Linked DNA regions of Oryctolagus cuniculus. The protein of the gene in region 1 purifies or fractionates together with the protein of each later gene. This does not show direct contact. Links are inferred from orthologs where the notes say so. Each region holds a gene or a part of one and is shown in the gene's direction. Other genes may lie near its edges.

Region 1 (3,745 bases):
CTTTGCTATGTAAACTCACCTAAATCTGTTGGTCTTCCCAGTTTATCATACAGTGTGATCACACAAATGTAAACTATTTATAAAATAAAAGTTTTCTTTGTGGTTTTTCTATGCTTTTAGAGGCTCTGACACACATGCAGAAATTAATTCTCCAAACCAGGACTGTGCCCAGTACAGTGGCCCTCCAGTATCCAGAGGTGGATAAGGACGAAAGCAGGGTGACAATCCAAAAGTCCCTTACTTCTCTTTTACAAGTACCAATTTGCAATCAGGAGAAACTGTATTCATTTTCTCCTTAATTTAACACAATCTATGGAATATTGTGCAAGACAGTGTGTTAGTTATTAGGTAAACAGAGGTAAATAAACCACAATCTTGTCCTCCTGCAGTTCAGTCTTCTCAAATATCTTTTGTGGTATGTTTGGGCTTCAACTTTGTCTGTGTATTGCCTAAGTACATTTTTGGTTTCAATATCCAAAGGATTTCAAGCAGTGATAAAGCATACTTAGTAGGCAAGACGTTAGGGGAAGCAATGGAGAAAGCTGAAGAGGCTGCTGTTAGAAACAACTTGAGGCATGAGTACATGCAACGAAATCTAACGCAAGGTGGATTTATTTCAGATTACTTCTGAAACAAACAACCATACACTTCATAGCTTAAAGTGACAATTTATTATCCGACTTCTTAAAATCAAGGTGTTGGGAGGACTGCACTCGTTTGGAGGCTCAAGGGTAGAATCTGTTTTCTTACCGTCCTACCTCCTAGAGGCTACCTCATTCCTAGGATCCTTGCTCCTTCCTCTATCTTCAAAACCAGCAGCATAATATTTTTCTCACTTTCCTCTGCTTTGGTCATCACATTTTCTCTGACACGCTGCCTCCTTTTTTATCTGGGCCATTGTAATTCCACAGGGCCCACCTGGACAATCTAGGATAATCTTCACTTGTGTAGATCATTAATTTAACCATACTTGGAAAGCTCCTTTTGCCACCTAGTAAGTTCTGAGGATCAGCACATGATCCTCTTTGGGGACCATCAGCCTATCATACAAGGCAAATCAGTACATAAAACTGCTTTTCACCTTAAGTCAATCAGCTGCATGTTGCATTCCACAAATTTGTTTTCTACATCAAAACCACCTGGATTATCCTCTTAACAACGGTGGTGAGTAGAGGCCCCAAGATAACACCACTTTCACTCACAAGTCAGCAAACTAAACCAAAGACATGACATCTGTTTCAAATGAACTCTCTTGGGTTGATTGCCATGAATAGGTATTTCATTGGATCCAAACTTGCCTATCTTACAGAACTAAACATGTTAATAAATCAAAGTTATGGCATTGTAAATAGCTATCATTCCCTCTAACAGTGAAGGGGCACGGAACAAGATTTAGCAAATAAAATTCTGATGTAATGCAGATTATAAATTGAAGACCAGCAGTAAATAATATGCATCACTTTGGTGTTAAAAAAAAAAAAAAACTGCTGAGGAGAGGGTAAAGGTCACGTCACTTCCACCTCAGGAAGGAGAAACATTTCACTATTCATCTGGTTAAAAATATTTTTGATCCCAACCAGACGGAGTAGTGGAATAGACTTACCTTTCTGCCTCAAAAAAACCCTGAAAACCACAAAAACATGTTTTCAGACACTGGACGGCACGCAGTGTGAGGACCGAAGTCCCTTGAATCACTCTGCCTATATGCTGGACGCGGTTTCCTGATGCATTGAAAGAAAAGTCGTCACTGCCGTCGGTCTTCGAGGACGACCTACATTTATTTACGTAAATATAATTGCCTTTCCAACCGGATAAACTCAGTAGCGAAACTAGGAAAATACGCTTGGCGGCAGGGAGCGGATGAGCCAATCCTCGGGCGCAGCGAGTTCTCGCGAGGCGGTGAGATCTACCGCCCTGACGTCACCGCCCCGGAGACGCCTGCGTGGGGAGGTTGGTGGGCGACAGCGCTGGTTGGGCGTGAGGGGGAGTGCATCTCTGAGCGCAGCGCTTGTGAGGAAAACAGACTCTGCCCTGCCGCTGGCTAACCGTTGCTGACATGAGCGGCCTGCATGGGGTCGAGAGCACCTCTCTCCCCCAGTCCCTCGGCCTTACTGTTCCCGAACATCCTCCTGGAGATCCGGACCAGAGCCTGAGGCTCAGCGAGGAAACCGAGGCGACGCAGGTGATGGCGGAGACGGGTGAGGGAAGTTTGGGGTCCGTTGCGCTCCCGCCGCCCCAGATTTTAGAGGAGGGGGACGCACCCCGGGATCCCGCGAGCTGTGGGCATGCTCCCCCGATCCGAGTCGTTGGGGGTCGCGGTCCCGTAGCGATCACGGCCGGGCGGGAAGAGGCTCCGCCTCCCTCAGAGAGACTGGGAGCAGCTTCTATGGTGGTGGCAACTCGCAGCAGGCTTGATGATGTCTTCCAGGGTGAGGAGAAGGCTCTCGAAAGCTGTGGCGCAGAGAGGTCGGAGTGTGAGGCGATGGTGGGGGCGAAGGCGGAGGAAGTGAAGATTGAAAAGTGTGCCTCCTTCTCAGAAGCCGCGGATGAGGAGAGGGCTGAGGTGGTGGAGACGGAAGGCGTGAAGGAGAAGCAGGTAGTGGCGGAGGAGATGGAGGTGGAGAAGCCAGCAGGTGAAGAAATAGAAGTGGTGGAGGAAAACGGAGTGGTAGAGGAGGTGAAGGAGGAGGCAGGGCCCTGGCATCTCAATGTGGTTCTGCGCATGAACCCCCTGGAGGCCATCCAACAGGAGCTGGACACTGTGAATGCTCAGGCTGACAGGGCCTTCCAACAGCTGGAGCAGAAGTTTGGGCGAATGCGTCGACACTACCTGGAGCGGAGAAACTACATCATTCAGAACATCCCGGGTTTCTGGATGACTGCCTTTCGGAACCATCCCCAGCTGTCCGGCATGATTAGGGGCCAAGATGCAGACATGTTAAGGTACATATCCAATTTGGAGGTGAAGGAACTCAGACACCCCCGAACTGGCTGCAAGTTCAAGTTCTTCTTTCGAAGAAATCCCTACTTCAGAAATAAGCTGATTGTCAAGGAATACGAGGTCCGATCCTCTGGGAGAGTAGTGTCTCTTTCTACGCCAATCATATGGCGCAGGGGACATGAACCCCAGTCCTTCATCCGTAGAAACCAAGACCTCATCTGCAGTTTCTTCACCTGGTTTTCAGACCACAGCCTTCCAGAATCTGACAGAATTGCTGAGATTATCAAAGAGGACTTGTGGCCAAATCCACTGCAGTACTACTTGTTGCGTGAAGGTGTTCGCAGAGCTAGACGTCGACCAATTAGGGAGCCAGTGGAGATCCCCAGGCCCTTTGGATTCCAGTCAGGTTAACCCTTACCCTTGGGAATGCTGCACAAGGTCTCTTACTATCTGCTGGACCTGTGCTGGGGTAACAGTGATGGGTCTGTCTTGTTGACCTTTCTTCACCCTGTCTTCTGCTGGATATTCCCTCCTCTAAACCTCAAACTTGAGACCATCATGGGCATGCTGCTTTACTTCCACATGACCTTCATGCTGTTCTGCATTAATAACACGTGCTGCATGGCTATGGTTCACACCACTGCAAAGCCAAGCAAATGATGGCTGTAGATTGCACTGTCTTTATCTACACTGCTTACACTCTGTTCCCAGGGCCTTTGTTCTGGTTACTACCACCTGCATTTCTAGGTTGGTTTGGAAGCCCATTCTACATATCCTCTGCATCCAGCATTACAGGCTCATGGT
Region 2 (3,645 bases), on another chromosome or scaffold:
GGAGAAGGATCAGAAGTGGGCAGCTGGGACACAAACCGGTGGTGCCCATATGGGATGCTGTCGTCATAGGCAGTGGCTTAGCCTGCTGTGCCACAGCGCCGGCCCCTCGCTTGGAAATTGAGAGTTATCACTGGTGACGTCGGGTCTCAGTGCCAGTCTCAGACTCTTCCTGCAGCTGCTGATTACAGCTGCCTTCTGGTTACATCGCTGTTGGGGAACTTGGGCAAAGTGGAGGAGTTCTGGGTTGGTGGAGGTGGTGCTTAGTTATTTCAGGGTCCCTTATTCTGTGCAGAAGAGAGAATTTCAGACAGAAGCACTGTGCGTCTGTTGATTGACACTGTGTTTTGTTTGTTTTACAGGAAGTGGGAAAACTCTCGCCTTTGCCATCCCCATGATTCACGCTGTGCTGCAGTGGCAGAAGGGGAAGCCCAGCCCTGTTTCAGGGAACGCTGGAATGCCACCCGGGGAGAGCAGGACCAAGGTTGGAACCGAGACTGGCTCACCAAGCAAGTCGGCAGCTGAGTCTGGCGTGTCACCTGGCGGGACTGGAATTGAGAGTGAAGAAGTGCCTCCCGGTGAGGCTGGGTCCACCGTCTCAGCCCAGGCCCTGCCGCTCTGTGGCGAGAGTGATGCTGGTGAAGGGCCTTCCTCCCTGACCCAGGAGAATGCCGTCTGCACACAGAGTGAGGATGAAGAGGAAGGGCTCGGTGAAGAGCCGAGCGGAAAGGCTGAGCAAGAGTCGGAGGGCGGAGCTGCGGCCTGGGAGGCCCCTCCCGCGCGCCCCCTGCTCGGCCTGGTTCTGACGCCCACCCGCGAGCTGGCCGTTCAGGTCAAGCAGCACATCGACGCCGTGGCCAGGTTTACAGGTGAGGTTTGCCTTCACGCGGTGAACGCGTCCTGCCTGGCGCCTAAATGCTCGTGGTAAAGAAGCGGTGGCTCCCGCCCTCGGAGGAAGCTGCTTCTCGTGTGCCTGAGCAGCAAGCCCTACGGAAAACCAGGTGGCGGTGTCTCGGCTCTCTTTGCTGGTGCCGTGTTAGACTCAGGGACGTTAATTAGTCTGTTGGATACGGTGGATGGTTAGGGCACCCATCTGGGTACACACTGCCTGTGGCTGCTTTTGTATTGCAAAGGCCAAGTTGAGTAGAGATAGTGGTTGTGACTTGGACTGTCTGGCCCACAGGAGTAACATTTACTAGTGACTCTTTTTTTTAAAAATTTATTTATTTGAAAGAGTTACACAAAAAGAAGGAGAGGCGGGGTGGGAGGGTCTTCCATCCACTGGTTCACTCCCCAGTTGGCCGCAACAGCCAGAGCTGTGCTGCTCAGGAGCCAGGAGCCTCCTCCAGGTCTCCCATGGGGTGCAGCGGCCCAAGCACTTGGGCCATCCTCCACTGCACTCCCAGGCCACAGCAGAGAGCTGGCCTGGAAGAGGAGCAGCCGGGACTAGAACTGGCGCCCATATGGGATGCCGCCGCCACAGGCGCCCTACCCAGTACGCCGCAGCGCTGGTCCCACTAGTGACTCTTACGAACAAGTCTTAATTCTCCCTGGGAATTCTTTTCAGGAAGGGCTGCACAGTGGGAATTATAGTGTGTGCGAGGCGCTTAGCGGGGCACTTTCCCTGATCCTGCTGTTCTTCCCCGCACTGGGGGCCGTGAGAAGTCTTCCACCCGCGGAGGCATTAGAGGAGCTTCGGATTAACTGTGAGTGAGGAGGGGGAGGCCCCCGGGAGAGGCATGTCACAGCTGCAGGTAATGTCCTCCAGTGTCATTGTCTGCCACCACTCTGTTTGCCCTGGGCTTTGGGCGTCAGCGTGCCTGGGCTCAGAGGGCAGAGAGTAGGAAGAAGTGAGGTTGGAGAAATTGTCCGGGCCCTGGTTACAGAATATTTGGTATGCTCTGTAGGTGTGGCATCCATGGTCAGGCCACACCTGCTCTTACAGCACCCGTTGGCACCTGGATCTGTGCTGGTGACCATCTCTGCTAATCTGGGGCTACCTGTATTAGCTGTGTAAGAAAATAACTTGCCAAACTGAATGAGAGTCCCTATGATTTCTGTCCCACAGGAATTAAAACTGCTATTTTGGTTGGTGGAATGTCTACGCAGAAACAGCAGAGGATGCTGAACCGCCATCCAGAGATAGTGATCGCCACGCCAGGCAGGCTGTGGGAGCTGATCAAAGAAAGACACTCTCATTTGAGCAACCTTCGGCAGCTCAGGTGGGAAATGGTGCCCACCCACCCCTGGTCCTGCAGTGAGCCTGAGCTGGCATCGTGATGTGCGCAGTTTCTTCTGTCACGTAGTGCCGTGGGGCAGTGCGTTCAGTCCCTGGCCTTAAAGCCAAGTGTGCGTGGGGGTGACTCGTCGAGGCCCTAGCGGTGGTGGTAGGGTATCTGCGTGTGTGTGGTTATGAGGGTGTGACTGGGCCGGGGGTCGAATGGGTCGAGTCCCTCTTACCTGCCGCTGACCAGCGGTGTGGGTCTGTCTGGATCTGCAGGTGCCTGGTACTGGACGAGGCTGACCGGATGGTGGAAAAGGGCCACTTCGCTGAGCTCTCGCAGCTGCTGGAGATGCTCAATGACTCCCAGTACAACCCACAGAGGCAGACGCTTGTTTTCTCTGCCACACTGACCCTGGTGCATCAGCTGCCCGCCCGACTCCTTCATAAGAAGCACACCAAGAAAATGGACAAAACTGCCAAGCTCGACCTCCTCGTGCAGAAGGTCGGCATGAGGGGTAAGCCGAAGGTCATCGACCTCACAAGGAACGAGGCCACGGTGGAGACCCTGACGGAGACCAAGATCCACTGCGAGACCGAGGAGAAAGACTTGTACCTCTACTACTTCCTGATGCAGTACCCGGGCCGCAGCTTGGTGTTTGCCAACAGCATCTCCTGCATCAAACGGCTCTCCGGGCTCCTCAAGGTCCTGGACATCATGCCTCTGACGCTGCACGCCTGCATGCACCAGAAGCAGCGGCTCCGAAACCTGGAGCAGTTCGCCCGAATGGAAGAGTGAGTGAAGCCGCCCTCGGCCTGGCCTGCAGCGCCGTGCGGGAGTGGCGGGAGGTCACCGCTGCTGCTGGGCCTTGTGAGAGCAGGCGGTCACCGCTGCTGTAGGGCCTTGTGAGAGCAGGCGGTCACCTCTGCTGCTGTAGGGCCTTGTGAGAGCAGGCGGTCACCTCTGCTGTAGGGCCTTGTGAGAGCAGGCGGCCCCCTTCTGCATGGCGTTCGGCAGGGTCACCGCGTTTAGCAGATTTGGATGCTGCTGATGTCCTCTGACGCTTTCGTAGCACTGAGTAACGGGGACAGTACCTAGTGTTGTTGACACTTCGTCCATTATGACCTAGGCCGGCACTTCAGAAACACCACGTCCCTCCACTCCCCCATCATCCAGGATAGATTTGTAGATAAGGGCACAAACTCTCGAACTGGGCTTCATGAGATCGAATCCTGACCCCACTGCTTCCTTGCTGGTCAAGTTGTTTGACTTCTGTGTGCTTGAGTTTGCTCATAGTGGGATAATAATATATAGACGTCATAGTGTTAGGGTTAACGGATGCGTGGATGTGAAGAGTTGGCGGCAGCTCTGTAAGGCACACAGTGTGTGCTTGTGAGATGTTAGCTCTAGTAACTCCCGCCCTCCT
Region 3 (3,645 bases), on another chromosome or scaffold:
TGACCATTAGCTACCAGTAGTAGGTCCCGACGTTCATCCAGATCGGAGTGTTTAACTTTGACTTGGGTTTTTGTTGAGCCCTAGCGGAGCCACTGAGGTTCCACAGAGCTCTGCTGGGATGGAGCCCGGCTTTTACCTTTGGCAAGTCGCTCTCGGTGTCTTTGGGTGGGGACAGACCCCGCTCAGGGCGGCTGGCGCCTCCACCCAGGACTGTGCAGTGCTGACTGTGTTTTCTGTCTTCTTTTCAAACTTGGAGGCCTCCGTGGAGCTTCCCTACACCCGATGGCGATGGCGTTGGCGTTGTCGGGGCAGGAAGCGTGACGGTGTCCTGCGGAGCTCTTGTCAGGAGAGAGCGGGCTTTTCCTGGGGTTTGTGGTTTGAGCGTGTGGAATGCCTACTGCTTTCCACTCTGTTTGCCCGAGACCTGGAAATGCGTGGCCTTCCCCTTGATGCCTCCAGAAGTGGAGCCACCGTGGAAATGCCACGGCAGCCGGCTGCACCGGTGCAGGAAGGGCCAGGCCCCCGGGCTGCGGGGAAACCACACACTCCCCCCACCCAGAGGGGGCCAGCGGCTTGCTGGCTGTAGGCAGCCTGTGACCTGCTGCGGGCAGACTTTCTGTTCTAGCCACAGCTCTTGATTTCTGTGCAGAATTCCCTGACTTGGAACAGGGTGACACAGTCTAAGTGAGAACACCAGATGCAGACGCCTGGGTCCCCTGTGGGGCGAGGCCTCGCTCCCACCCCTTCACGCCTGCCCCTCCGCACCCGCTGGGCTGGTGGCCTGAGAGTTCGCATCCCGTCCCCCAAGGCTCTGGCTTCCTGCTTTGAGCCCTACACAAAGGGTTAGGGCTTTGAACGCTTCGGGCACAGGGCTGGCGAGAGTCAGGAGCCCAGGGTCTCGCCATGCCTGTGTCGTGGTTTACTTTACGGCCAGCGATTTCTCTGGGCCTCTGTTTTCCAATCTGTGAGCTGGATCATTTGAGGAATCTCTAGGCTTTCTTTCCGCCCCTCCCACTGTCTCAGCTGGTTAGCAGCGTTGTACATGTTGAGGTTTAGGTCAGCGCGCCCCCACCTTGCTTGAATACCAGTCCCGAAACCACCTCCAGACACACGAGTGGCACTGGTCTGCGGCCGGGAGCTGCGTCCCTTCCTCTGTGGCCCCAGCCGGCCCGCGTGACACCATGTGAAGCGTGTGTGCAGACCTCGGCTGCGGCGTGCGGAGCCTCTGCGTTGGGCCCTGCTCCCAGGTGCGCGGCTGCGGCACACGCCGGCTTTTCTTCTTGGCTGCAGGCATCAATGAGATCTCGGAAGACGTGTACACGGCCGTGGAGCACAGCGACTCCGAGGACTCCGAGAAGTCGGAGAGCAGCGACAGCGAATACATCAGCGATGACGAGAAGCCCAAGGCCGAGCCGGAGCCCGCGGACGACAAGGACGCCGGTCGGGCCGACAAGGAGCCGTCCGCTGCCAAAAAAAAGCCCAAGCCTGCCAACCCGGCCGAGGTGAAAGAGGAGCTGAAGGGCTCGCCCCCGGCCGCGGAGAAGGCAGAGCCTGCGGCGACGGCCAAGGACAAGGCCAGCCCCGAGCCCGAGAAGGACTTCGCAGAGAAAGCGAAGCCCTCCCCTCACCCCACCAGGGACAAGCTGAAGGGCAAGGACGAGACGGACTCCCCGACCGTGCACCTGGGGCTCGACTCCGACTCGGAGAGCGAGCTGGTCATCGACCTGGGCGATGACCACGCGGGGCGGGAGGGCCGCAAGACCAAGAAGGAGCCCAAAGAGCCGTCTCCCAAGCAGGACGGTGAGTGCACGCGGCCGGTCCCCATTTCTTCGTTGGGTTTCTAGTTCCGCCCTGCGTTTGTCTCATCCAAGGGGCCGTGCCCCTCTGGTGCCAGCTGTGGTTGGTGTGGTCCTCAGGTAGTGGGCCAGCAGAGCCTCGGCTTACACCAGCCCCCGCCCGCCTCTCACCTGTTCCAGGCGGAACACAATTGCTTTTCCTTTTCAGTTTTTTTAAAAAAAGATTCTACTGATTTGAGAGGGGGAGTTACAGACAGTGAACCATCCTCTGGTTCACTCCCCAAATGGTCGCAAGGACTGGAGCTGAGCCGATCCGGAGCCAGGAGCCAGGAGCCAGGAGCCAGGAGCTTCTTCTGGTTCTCCGAAGCAGGTGCAGGGGCCCAAGCACTTGGCATCTTCTGCCGTTTTCCCAGGTGCATTAGCAGGGAGCTGGATCGGAAGTGGAGCAGCCGGGCCTTGAACTGGTGCCCGTATGTGATGCTGGTGTCACGGGCTGGCTTTACTCGCTTCACCACAACGCTGGCCCCGGTCAAGTCATTTTTAGCCCAAGTAGCATCTTCCCAGCACGCTGACTCATTTCCCTAAGGACACTGTGAGCTTTCAGACATTTGACAGGGCTCAGCCGATAAGCATTGAATAGCTCAGATCTGGATGAGTTCAGCTTCCCTCTTCCTCCCTTCCTGCCGCCCAGTGTTCTCCCTGTGGGTGTTGGCTCCTTGGAGCACTGGGGATGGGCGGGCCCCGGGGCGCCGGGCCCCGCGTTGGTGTCCCATCCCGTTTGCGTTCAGTAGAGCTCAGCTCCAGGTAGTTCTTTGTCCTGTGCTGGCAGGAGTCGGCTGCCCCTGGTAGTTCTTTGTCTTGTGCTGGCAGGAGTCGGCTGCCCCAGCTTCTCCCCATTAGGCAGACGGTGCCAGTATCCCCTGCGGGCTACAGCTTGCCCCACTGAGGGCCGCTGCACCTGTTGTGGTCTGAAGCCTCCCAGGGCCCAGCCCGTGAGCAGACCCTCTGGGAGGAGAACAGGGGCTTTCAAAGGGTGCCCTTCCCACAGCCCAGGTGGTCAGCGTAGTTTCCAGCTGGCTTGGCAGGCGGGCGAGGGTCGTGAGGAGTTCATTGAGGACCCGGGAGAAGCCTGGCCTGGGGCTGCCGCCCTTCTGCCTGGAGCTCCCTTCCCAGCTGCCTGTGGTTCTCAGTCCTGCGGCTGACCGCGAGCCCGCGGTGACAGGAGAGAGGGAGCCGCCGCTGACTGCCCTGGAGTGGAGAGAGAAGGGATTGGTGGGCAAGCAGGAGGCAGCAGCCCAGGGCCATCTCCTAGGCGAGAGGGGCGCAGAAAATGCTCCTTGTGCTGAGGATTGGGGTTGAGAGACGGTGTCCCCGGTTGCAGAGAACACTGCGGGGGGCTGGCCTTTGTCCCCCGAGGGTGTGGTGGGGGCAGGGCTCCCGTGACGCCCACGCCAAGCCCTTCTGTCTGGAACGGCTCTGCATTGATTCCCGCTACGCCCCTTCGTCGTCCAGAAAGGCTTTGCAACGGATCGACAGGTGGTGTAGCCCTGAAACAAGAGGGAAGACACAGAATGGAAGGGCGGTGAGGGCAGGCGGGCAGAAGGGCCTGGCGAGAGCTATGCTGCCGGCGCGCCCTGTTCCGGCTTCAGAATCGGGGGGCTGGGCTTCCGTTTTGGGTCTGAGCTCCTAGCCATGAAGCGAGCTCGTGCGGTGCCCCACATAAAGGCGTCTCCGCTGGTGAGAACTGGAGTTCTTCCTTGCACTGCTGCGCAAGGCCGATGGTAATTCACGAGTCCGTCTGAGCAGGTCGCCAGGGTTTGGCTCCTGGAGAGCTGGCTTCAGGTCACCC

What was found. The genes of interacting proteins can lie anywhere in the genome.
Region 2: the proteins of TSPYL1 (region 1) and DDX24 purify together in Homo sapiens (affinity purification with mass spectrometry; 3 studies listed by BioGRID and IntAct, counting the BioPlex papers as one, with this or other methods). This does not show direct contact. The link is inferred for Oryctolagus cuniculus from reciprocal best matches to the Homo sapiens genes TSPYL1 and DDX24.
Region 3: the proteins of TSPYL1 (region 1) and ZMYND8 purify together in Homo sapiens (affinity purification with mass spectrometry; 4 studies listed by BioGRID and IntAct, counting the BioPlex papers as one, with this or other methods). This does not show direct contact. The link is inferred for Oryctolagus cuniculus from reciprocal best matches to the Homo sapiens genes TSPYL1 and ZMYND8.

Annotation. Positions count from the first base shown.
Region 1 is NC_091436.1:54,883,187-54,886,931, forward strand, and holds the start of TSPYL1 (testis-specific Y-encoded-like protein 1), read left to right. Parts: upstream 1-1,533; 5' UTR 1,534-2,056; coding exon 2,057-3,352; 3' UTR 3,353-3,745.
Region 2 is NC_091451.1:38,925,335-38,928,979, reverse strand, and holds part of DDX24 (ATP-dependent RNA helicase DDX24), read left to right. Parts: intron 1-359; coding exon 360-866; intron 867-2,065; coding exon 2,066-2,219; intron 2,220-2,497; coding exon 2,498-3,013; intron 3,014-3,645. UniProt on the Homo sapiens protein: ATP-dependent RNA helicase that plays a role in various aspects of RNA metabolism including pre-mRNA splicing and is thereby involved in different biological processes such as cell cycle regulation or innate immunity.
Region 3 is NC_091442.1:12,509,875-12,513,519, forward strand, and holds part of ZMYND8 (MYND-type zinc finger-containing chromatin reader ZMYND8), read left to right. Parts: intron 1-1,290; coding exon 1,291-1,800; intron 1,801-3,645. UniProt on the Homo sapiens protein: Chromatin reader that recognizes dual histone modifications such as histone H3.1 dimethylated at 'Lys-36' and histone H4 acetylated at 'Lys-16' (H3.1K36me2-H4K16ac) and histone H3 methylated at 'Lys-4' and histone H4 acetylated at 'Lys-14' (H3K4me1-H3K14ac).